Neodiprion lecontei: one gene and its partner. The protein of the gene in region 2 purifies or fractionates together with the protein of the main gene of each other region. This does not show direct contact. Links are inferred from orthologs where the notes say so. Each region holds a gene or a part of one and is shown on either strand. Other genes may lie near its edges.

What was found. Proteins that work in one complex are often made in the same cells at the same time.
Region 1: the proteins of NEDD8-conjugating enzyme Ubc12 (region 2) and COP9 signalosome complex subunit 6 purify together in Homo sapiens (affinity purification with mass spectrometry; 3 studies listed by BioGRID and IntAct, counting the BioPlex papers as one, with this or other methods). This does not show direct contact. The link is inferred for Neodiprion lecontei from reciprocal best matches to the Homo sapiens genes UBE2M and COPS6.

Annotation. Positions count from the first base shown.
Region 1 is NC_060261.1:28,662,091-28,668,773, reverse strand, and holds COP9 signalosome complex subunit 6, read right to left. Parts: upstream 5,118-6,683; 5' UTR 4,904-5,117; coding exon 4,693-4,903; intron 4,474-4,692; coding exon 4,190-4,473; intron 1,799-4,189; coding exon 1,633-1,798; intron 1,334-1,632; coding exon 1,140-1,333; intron 987-1,139; coding exon 846-986; 3' UTR 558-845; downstream 1-557. UniProt on the Homo sapiens protein: Component of the COP9 signalosome complex (CSN), a complex involved in various cellular and developmental processes.
Region 2 is NC_060266.1:5,034,874-5,038,893, forward strand, and holds NEDD8-conjugating enzyme Ubc12, read right to left. Parts: upstream 2,255-4,020; 5' UTR 2,115-2,254; coding exon 2,012-2,114; intron 1,924-2,011; coding exon 1,829-1,923; intron 1,597-1,828; coding exon 1,390-1,596; intron 866-1,389; coding exon 725-865; 3' UTR 504-724; downstream 1-503.

The DNA.
Region 1 (6,683 bases), on a different chromosome or scaffold from region 2:
CAGTGTTTCACCATGTAAACGTGCCGATTGAAATAAGGTCTTCCATTATAAGAAAAGGATGCATGCAAGTATCGGATCTACATAAAATGAATAAATAAATATCTAAAAAACGTAATTACCTGCTCACAATAAAACGATATGACCATCGTTTCTCCCGGAATGTTAAAGAAATTTTAAACCACATAATTAACGTGTAACGTGTAAAAATGTATTATATATCGTAAATTAATTATTACCTACCATTGTAGATAGTGGGAATTAATAATAAATTTGTATGGCATTTAAATGTTGCGTTTATATAAATATCTACATGTATATCAATTAGCTGCAACCGTTCGAAAAGCACACGGAAGTCATATGATGCTGCCATGTCGATGCCTCGCAAATTCAAAAAGAAAAAAAAAAAAAAAACTACCAGTAAGTAGATCAGCCCACCTGCAGTTCGGAATTTATTCTTGAGTTTTAACCAAATTTCATCCAAAACTGTAGTTACCATCGATATTAGTTGACTTTTAAAATCTTGTGATAAATATATACACAGACTATACATATACATGTAAGTATAAATATTCGAATAGTTTTATTTAACAGTTATATCACATTACATCTTTCCTGTACAGGGTTACTGCAGTTGTTTATCATGAATGAACGATCTGCGCATGGTGTCTTATCATTATTGCATTTACTTATATATTGTAAATGATGAATTATTAAAGGGGGTCTCTAAGCAATGACAAGATTTATGGGCTGTTGCGTATCGCAATGCTGAGGTTGAGTGTTAATAGCTTATGAGTTTAAGTTGAAACTATAAATCGAAGTAGAAAAAAGAGTTATTTAATTATTTATTAAAAGAAGAGACTTCGCAAGCGACGGCCCATTCCTTGTCGGTCGTATAAAATGTTGAATTTGTTCGTAAATTGATTTATATCGTTGCATCCTTTTGTTATTATTCCAAGATACGTCACTAGACCAAAATCGTTGCATTGCTGAAAAGAACAAAAATTGTAGAATTAGAATTTAATTCACACAAGAAACAAAAATTCGATTTGCAATAAACTCTTGTGTCTTTTTTAACTGATTGCCGCGTTTCTTTATCTTAATTATTAATTTTATTTTTTCTTAGAATAATTCTTACTTACGTTATAAAAGTCTGCTCGAAAGTTTGCACTATTTAAAACAGGTAATCGATGTCCCAGTGAGCATGCAGCTCGCAATACTTCGTGGTTCCCTTTCAATTCCCCGCTTTGAACGGCTTCAACGTATCTCAAAACAAGTTTAACCCTTGAATTCAGCATCTTAATTGCACTGTGTTGTGCAGTTAAATGTTCTGCCACTAAGAAATAGATGTACTATTATGTCCAGGGATTGATTAATCTTCTTACGATATCATAAAGGTCTGTTTACACTTTAAGACCAATACAGAGGAGCGTCAATATAAGCCTTGTCGTTAGAAACCTGTTCCCCTACATTTTCCCGTCATATACGTCATCAGGTTTTCCTCACCAATGCGGTTGTAGCAGCCAGCGTGCATAGCATTGCCTTGGTGAAGAGTCACTAGGGGCCGCACTATTCTTGTAAGGACGAGGTAAGACTATAATGACGCTCCACTGTGAGTGCGAAATTATTTCTTACCCAATGAACTTTCGGCCTGATCGTTAGTGCACATTCTTGCTACATGATCGACTCCAATTCTTTCGGCTTCTTCCGTTGCTAATGTATATGTTAATGGCACAAATAGCATGGTGGCTTCGCCATTTACCAAATCGATCACAGACTCGTACATTGCAACAGATAATTGCTATGGAAAGGAAACGCTTTTTTGGTTTTTTATATTCTCCATATAAACTAAAATTGTATACAAAGAAGTATCAAACATATTGTTCACTGTGTATAGTAAAATTTATAATTAAAAATTGAGCCCCCTTTAAGAGGAATTTCTTCAAAGTGGAAGACGCGTTTTTACTACATTGACCTTACAATATGAATGGAATGATACCAAAAATATCTGAACACAGGATTTATCAATATATAGAAAAAATAGGCAAACTTCTCCAGACTGACTAAATTTAAAGCCAGCTAAAAATTTACCCAAGCACAGGTCACACTAGAAGATGCTATGGTAAAAAGCCGTGTGACCATAAAAAATACAGTTTCAATTTTCCTAACTTGCCTCAATTCTTTAGAATGAATATTTAATATTTCTGCGGACTGTTATACGTTCTCAGAACGTCATTGAAACCCTTCGTATGTCAGAATTTGGTTCAACATCAAAATATCTGTAGTTGACGTTTTGCGCGCAAATTTTTTCAGACTGTGCCACTGCTCGATATATGATTCTTGAAAGAGTAAAGATGCTAGTCAACTTATAAACAGCAGTTAAGATTTAATATCACTTTACTAAATCATAACTCTATTCCAGATTGGGTAATCACTTGTACTTTTATGTGGTTTATTTAGTTCGATCATACAATTTATGTACTGATTGATTATGATTCCAAATACTTGTAGTATCAATATATATAAATATCAGTTTTGTTGTAAAATAACCATAAGAAAAATATCGAAAATTAACGGCAAGCAAAAACAATTTCAATAAATTTTTGTTAGTGAACAATCATCATCATCTGTTATCCTATACATAATGCATAAAACCACGAAGGCTTACCGATATTGCTGTATAAGCATGTATACAGATGAGTAGAGTTAGCCCATAGGGGAAATTGAACGTTACTACATAAAAAATATATTACTTAATCCTCAATTAAATTCATACAACAAAGTGAATATTCCATATGAAAATAAAAATAATTCTATACACCAGATTTGAATTATAATTTAATATTGTAATATTAAATCTTAACCGTTACTTATAAACCGAATAGCAACCTTACTCTTTCAAGAATCATATGCACAGCAGTTGCACAGCCTTAAAAAAAACGTTGTTCATTGACTAGAGATACAATGATGTTCGACTAAATTCTGAAAACAATGGTCTTGAACAAAATTGTGAGATACAATGTTTTTGAATCAAATTATTAAATATGATGTTGTTGATGTCGTTCTGCTCAGTAGTAAAATTTATACATATGAGGTATTCTATACCAACTTAACCAACATTGGACGCTTACCATTTCTAATCTTGTTTAAACATTTTTATGGAATTGTACCAAATCCATAACAGTACCCCGAATTTTTTCAGATTTTTTGGACTGAAAGTTGCTTTACTTGCGTTTTTTAAAATCAACATGTTTTTGACCTTAATTTAGAAATCTGAAAAGATTCTCAAAAATCATGTGTCAGACATTAAAATTTTTGAGCTTAAACCCTGAGTGGGTCGACATTCCCTTCTTATTTTTTTTCGAGATTTCTTGAAGAAAACTAATTGAAAAAAAAAGAAGCAATTGTCATTCTTTTGTGAGAAATTTTCAGTCATTTGTTGGCAAAAATTTTAATATGTAACGCGTACTATTTAAGAATTCTTAAGATTTTTTTAAACTCATTAATTATTAACAATTTTTTCATTTGGAACAAAAATTTGGAATCTGAAAAAATTCTTAAAAATCCTGGGTTGTGTATAAAAATGTTTGAGCAGCGGCCCACAAAAGACTGACAATTGCATCTATTTTTTTTTTTTATTTAAGAAACTTAAAAAAGAGTAGAAGCAAATGCCAGCCTAATCCGGATCTAGGCTTAAAAATTTCGATACTTGACACAAGATGGTTGTGAATTTTTTGGCATATTTAAATTACGGCCAATGACATTTAGGTTTTCAAAAATCATAAGTAAACAAATTTACTCAGAAAAATCTGACCAAGGTCGGGATCCTGTTTTGGAGTTGGGACAATTCTATGAAAAGTTTTTGACCAAAATGACAAAAGGTGAGGTCTGGAAGTTGGTTAAGTTGGTGTGGAATATCCCATTTATATCTTTGGGTACTGTACCCTAAGAAATTTCCTGAAATACTTGAAACATTTTCCAACTGTAAAATTTCCACAGTATGTATTGTGAGATTTTACAGATTTCTGACCATTGCTGCTTTTCTGCAATGTCATAAATTTCATTATGTTTCTAGAACTTGCAGCACTATTTAGATCGTTGAATACACATTCTGTAATAATACAGTGATGGATTGGACATGTTTTGGAGCAGAAAATGTATGGAAAGAGATTGTTACATAGTAAACACTTACTTCTGTATGTTTACACCTCGGGTCTAACTTAAGTAGCACAGGACATTCGTTAATTTCGCATAGCTGTTTGTGTACCCTGATGTCTCTGTCTGTTGGGGCATCTCCTGTTGTGTACCACCCGAGAAAATCCATTTCACTAAACACCTGCTTGAACTGTTCTTCTTTCGTATTGTAGTAATCTCGATCAATGACAACATCGTCACCGATAGATGTAAACAAGAGCTCGAAAGAATTCATTATCTCTATGTTACGTCCCTTCTGTTTACCGATCAGTGCTCCGTAAACTGTAAGAATTAATAAATAATTAATACAAACACTATGCATTAGAGTGTAAATCATTCAGGTTTCAACATGCATCGTTCTCTTGTAATCGAACTTACAGAACTTTATTTGCGCATTATCGAATCATGTTAGATTAGGGTATATTCTGCCACCGTGATCATAGCACACCATAAACTGACTTCAGGGCACTGAAGTAAAAAGTTGTATTCTATTACACTCACCCAGTTGATCAGAGCCTTCCTGTGCCCTGAGCCTCGTCCAATGTTCACTAACATTCATTATGACGAGAGGATGCAAACTGATTGACACTGAGCCGACAGTCCCAGACGAGGCCATCACGCTCTTCACGTTACTTGTGACTGGGGTTGTATCCATCGCGCTAACAACGTTGCTTTCTTCTACCTCCATTTCACTAAACGACGGCTCGCTCATTTTGGTATATTTTTACGCTCAAACTAGCAAACACGACAGTTTTATCTATACTCTTTACTTACTGATGGCTGGTGGCTACAAAGGCGTAAATACTACAAAGTACCGTCTACGACAGCCTGCGGCGAGTTGTGAAACAATCGTTGGTTTAGACCGTTGGGAGTTAAGACTGGTTGAGACCCTATTGCCCTATTCTGTATTTATCTGAATAGCTAATTTCTATGGCAGCCTGTGCTACCAATTTATAACTTTTGAAGCGCCTCGAGTCAGCCTAGTTACCACCCAGGGAACTGACGTAGTAATGTGTGCGCATGCCTGAACGCGGGAAAAGTCAAACGTTTTATACTGCGTACGAAACTACCTTGTATTTAAAATCTGTCAAAGTGAAGAATGTATAATTGTAGTGGTATAAAAGAAATATATATTATGATCGCATACGAATTCTGCCATATGCGACCAGAAAAGTGGAAAGATTTATCGTTTTTCGAATAATAGAGGCAAAAAAGTTGATGATCTCGAGAGTAGAGTATAACGTAGCGTTTGCAGTCGCAGGGGTTTTCTGAAATATAAGGAACTTACCATGGTCCTTCGTTGAAGGGATAACTACAACGGCACTCACCATGAAACTAGATTTCGAACTAATTTTTTTCAGGCACACTACTATACTTTCTACTTTCAGAGATGGTTATCACGTTGCAAACAAAATTGTACATATGAATTTTTTTAGTTTTCCCATTTACTAATTAATTTTCCAGAATTTTAGAATTAACGCCGTTCATGGATATAAAGGAGTTATTAAGTCTGCAAGATTCATCTCATAATATTCTCTTACGTACATATATCCGGGTTATTTCTAATAATGAAGAATTCAATCAAGTGTTCGCTTATTAGTATTTACACGGTATAAAATAACGTATGAACTTTGGTTAAAACCCAGAAAGATCAGATACAGCTTTAACTAGAAGAAATCATTTGTATATACATATTATTCAGTGTACTATTGTTGGCAGCAAACAAGCGGTATTTTTGAAGTTTTCTATTACCTTTTACACGTAATCAGATAACAGGAAAAGTAAATGACTTCATTTTAAGAATTATGAGAGACAGTGGTTATTTATTAGAATATTTCATCTCAGTATAAAATACAAAGTAGATTCAACATTGCATTTGTATAGAAAGTTGTTCTTAACTAATCGTTTCGTATAGAAAACGAATCGATTCAATAATAATCGAAACTTTGAAAATTCAGATAATAATCGATTAATCTAACATCGTAAAGATTGATTCTTAAAAGAATCACAGCTTAGATCATCTTCAGATTGTGAAATTCCCTAGGGGTTTGACGCACTTTCTAGTATTATATTAAACCGTGTAACGTGCATATATTGTGCTAAACATGGCAAGAAATAATCATTTGCTACGTTTACGCACTGTCCCTGTACCATTAATGTGTATAACTGGTACAGTTTTTATGATTTTATTTAATAAAATAAAGTGCACCGTTTACGCAACACACAGCTTATTAAACCGTACATGAAAGTTATGCACAATAGCGTGTGTAGGGAACATGTGTAAAAGTATAAAGTCTCGTGTCGATAGGCCCGAATGCCTAGTGGCTAACTTGTGCCTTTTGATTTTAAAGTATCGAAATATACGCAAAAATATAATGTTGAAAATTGTGATATTTAGGTAATATTTAAGTACATTCAAAGCATAGTAAATAATTAAGGATCACTCGGTTCTTTACGGAATAGATTTGTTTGATTACGTATGTATCTACAAG
Region 2 (4,020 bases):
TTCAGGTAAATTTTTATGGTTCATAAAATTGCGCTACTTTAGCTCGATGTACAAATCACACTTTCGAAAGATAGTTAAAATAACGTGCGATGTTTTTAATCATTTTATTTCATCGACGATGTAGAAGATGGACAGGTCCACCTTTCGGACATCCTACTTTGAAAATTAATGCAATCGTACATTCGCCCTTTTTTCTATGTAAATATTCTACTCAACTTTTACAGTCCCCGCTCTTTGAAAACTCAAAGTCTTCGTTACATCCCGACCATCGACCGGTTGTTTCGCACCACTTATAAACTTATATTCCAGCTACTAAAATAGCCAGCACTGCTTTCAAGGTGTCCTTCTGATCGCTATTGAGAAATTCGAAACCTAAGATCAGCAGCTTCCACCTTATTGCATCTACCCACTTTTTAAAGCTTGTGCAGTTGCTGTTATTTAAACGACGCAAACTGCCTGTCAAGGAAATTTTTGGTTTCTTCTATTTAGTGAACTATACATTGTGAAGATTTAAGTAAGTTTATTAGCCAAAAGCATAAAATACTTGATGGATTAAATGTTTGGAGGCCTGGCAAGACGTGAAGAACGTAAATATGTATAAAGCAGACACACAGGTAACCGTTAGAACACTGTGTTCTCCTCCATTTCTCCAGTCTCTTGGTATTTGTCCTCTAAGTCTGAGTCTTTGCAGGATTGTATACAGCATTGGTGAGGAGGCGGTGTATCACTTGAGACACCGTTCAAAATAAAATGACCCTACGTATCCACCTCGCATTGCTTTCACCACATTCTGTTCGAATACTCTTCGATTATTTTGTAACACCTCTGCCGCATCTTTGTTTAAAGGATCTTCAGGATTCGGTTCCTAAGTAAAGAGAAAATGAAGAAAAAATAAACAAACGAGAGGCATAAGAATAAAATTGTAAGATTTATTCATTAGTACAATCTAGTTAAAAAAAAAAAAAAGCTCCAATGGACAATAAAAATAAAATAATGATTCAAAAGGTGCAACCGAAGTTGATTCGAGTGAAACTGAATTGAAACCTTGTCGACTGAGAAGTTCAAGGAAAAATCTTCGGTAGATGATTTGTGGGAAACTTATTTACATGCATAATATATGTAACAAATGTACCATAAGATGTGCAATAATCTGACTTTACTAAATCTGTTAATAACAGTTTTTATCCGAGAGATTTTGTGTGAACAAAACATACTTTGATCGACTTCAGTTGCAAGGTTGAAACTATTTTAACTTATCCAATTTCTTTGGTTCGATACTTTTCAGCCTAAAATATTTGCCCAATATATTGTCAAGATGTAAGTTTTGGAAATACATGAAAGTAAGCACATTGAGTTCAGAGACGCAAATTCAGAGTGTTCAATACTTACCAGAAAGAGATACTGAAGCCCGTAGACAATCGAGTTTATTGTCAATACAGGTTTCCAATCTTCTCTAAGAATATTCAGGCAGACATTGCCTTCCAGGTCAATGTTGGGATGATAAACCTGCGTTTCGCACTTTACTTTAGGTGGTTCGTGTGGATAGTTTGGACCGACCTTAAAACTGAACACAAATCTTCCGCCTTTGTAGAAACCCTAAGAATAATTATAATGCGAGGTGAATACTTTGGCTCATTTGTCAATCGAGCGACGAACAGAGAACAGAAGGAGATACAGGCATGAGCGATCTGCGCTGAAGTTAGCACAGCTTAAAGAATCGCTACTAAGTTGCTGCAGTAGAAACTTGACTAACTGAAATTTTGGTACGCAACAAGTAGCGACAGGATGATGAAAACAACTGAGAATTTCTGAGTGGTAAAATACGTACTTCGTCAGGGCAGATTATTAGTTTAAAAGTCAACAGGTCATCTGGATCTGGAAATTCTGTGCCGCATGTTTTTGGCAGGTTGAGTTCGTTTATATCTGAAATAAAAATAAGGGAAAGATTATTTTAAATATTTCTTTCACAATCGTATCCCGTTATGTGATAAAAAAAATGATAAATCGCAACCTTTCGTGATCCTTAACTGCGCTGCTGAGGCCTTTTTCTGAGTTCCTGTCCTTGGTGATTCGCCATCTTTTTTCGCTTGTTTTAGTGAAAATAATTTAATCATGTTAGATTCTAAGTTCGGCTACAATATAGCGAGGCATACAAATACTTTTTAAATTCAAGCAAAATCACAGAAGATTAAAAAATTGGAACCTACTAATTTTTGACAAGGGGGATAACTCGCCTTTCGGACCGTGCTCTCCCCTGGCTATATTCACGCTTCGCGAATATTCCACCATATAGTTAAATTCACGTCTTTTTAACCACAAATACGAAAATTAATTGACCTTGATCACTTTCGCCGGCTATTTTCTGCTCACATTTATCGCAAAAAATCAACGCGATTCCGTCGCGAATGGCCAGATACCTTGTTGAAGGCTTATAATTAAAAATTTTCACCGTTTAACGGCTGAACGCTGAAAGCTGGTAGATTGGTTCAGTCGAAAATAGCGCCACTGCGACCATCTCCTCATTGGATAAAAAATTTTTTACTCCAAGATCCGTATTTGAAGTTGTTCAGTGAACGTAGACACTTTGGCGATGCGTGGCTCCATAGACTTATAAATAATACTAACAGCGTGAACTCCGCTTCTAAACATCGCCATTGAAATCTCTGTTACTTTGACGTTGAGTAAAAAAATAGTGTAATAAATTCGCGTTGCGTAGACAGTCTTGCTAGTCCACGTATGCATGGAATAGCGTGGCCATAAGCAAGGTCAAAAAGGTGTAACGAATCTAGCAGCCGAAAATAACGTACGAAAATGACGTACAGCATGTTTACTCTTCTACATATATCATATATTGGCACATATCTGTAGGATTGCATTGTTTTCGCAGAGTAGACAGTTATAATGACCAATCGCGATGGCGTTAGGTAACCGCTTCTCTCACTTTCATAGGTTAATATTTTAACATATTTCTTCGAAACAATTGATAACCGTTCATATCTAATAAATGGTCAAACTAGGGTACAGATAAGATTAAACAAATGCAATAATATATCAAATTGTGATCCGCTGTAAGAGACATTCAAATCTTAAGCTCTGTTCAAGATTCCGCGCAGTCACGTGTTTTTGAGTGAAGTCTGTCGCACCGTGGTTGGGTGAACCTTTCACTGTACGAAAAAAAGAAGAAAAAAATAATATATATATGTTCTTTGACATCGGTGCATCGGGAATTGTCGCGGCGATGAAACGAAACGATAGTAGAAAGTAACTGTAATAATGATATTGTAGAGTACCGATGTTTACAGTGTTTACGTAGAGTGTGTAATGTGTCAGTGATAATCGAAATTTGCACAACGATGATGTGGTACGTGTAATACGATATATACATGTATAATATCGCCTTTGTCAATCTATACGAATATTTATTTAACGAGAGATGTTACTATGAGTTAATTGCACTCGATTCTTAACGTTTTAAATTGTTCGAAACGAACTATTTATGATCTATTAATTCAGCCGGAGTCTGTTTAATGTGGCAACCGAATCAGGGTAAATATTTAATTTTCCATAACGCTTAGCCACGGTCGTTGATAAATCCGTTGATAACGTTTTAGTGCTCTATAAAATAAACTAGGGATTGTTGCAGCGTTTATTAATTCATGTTACTTGCCCAACTTCGCAACTCTCCTCGACGAGTTGTTGTAAGTACGTTAAATTTAGTTATAAAAATAGGTTTAAGATTTCACATAATTTCATTTGCTATCATATTCCTTTGTTGCGCTAATCTTTGACTTGATGAAAAAACTTACTATGACAATTTCTTTTACCATTTTGCTGGCATGCTCGATCACTGAAAATACATAAGGATGAAGTCATCAACGTACCGTTACTGTAAAACGACGTATGTTCAGGAAAAATGATTTTCCAAAGTAAATAAACCATTGTAAACAAAATATATTAGTATTCTGAGAAGCCAACTCCTTGAAAGTCATTCTCAAATATCTCAGTGACGATTTTTTATCC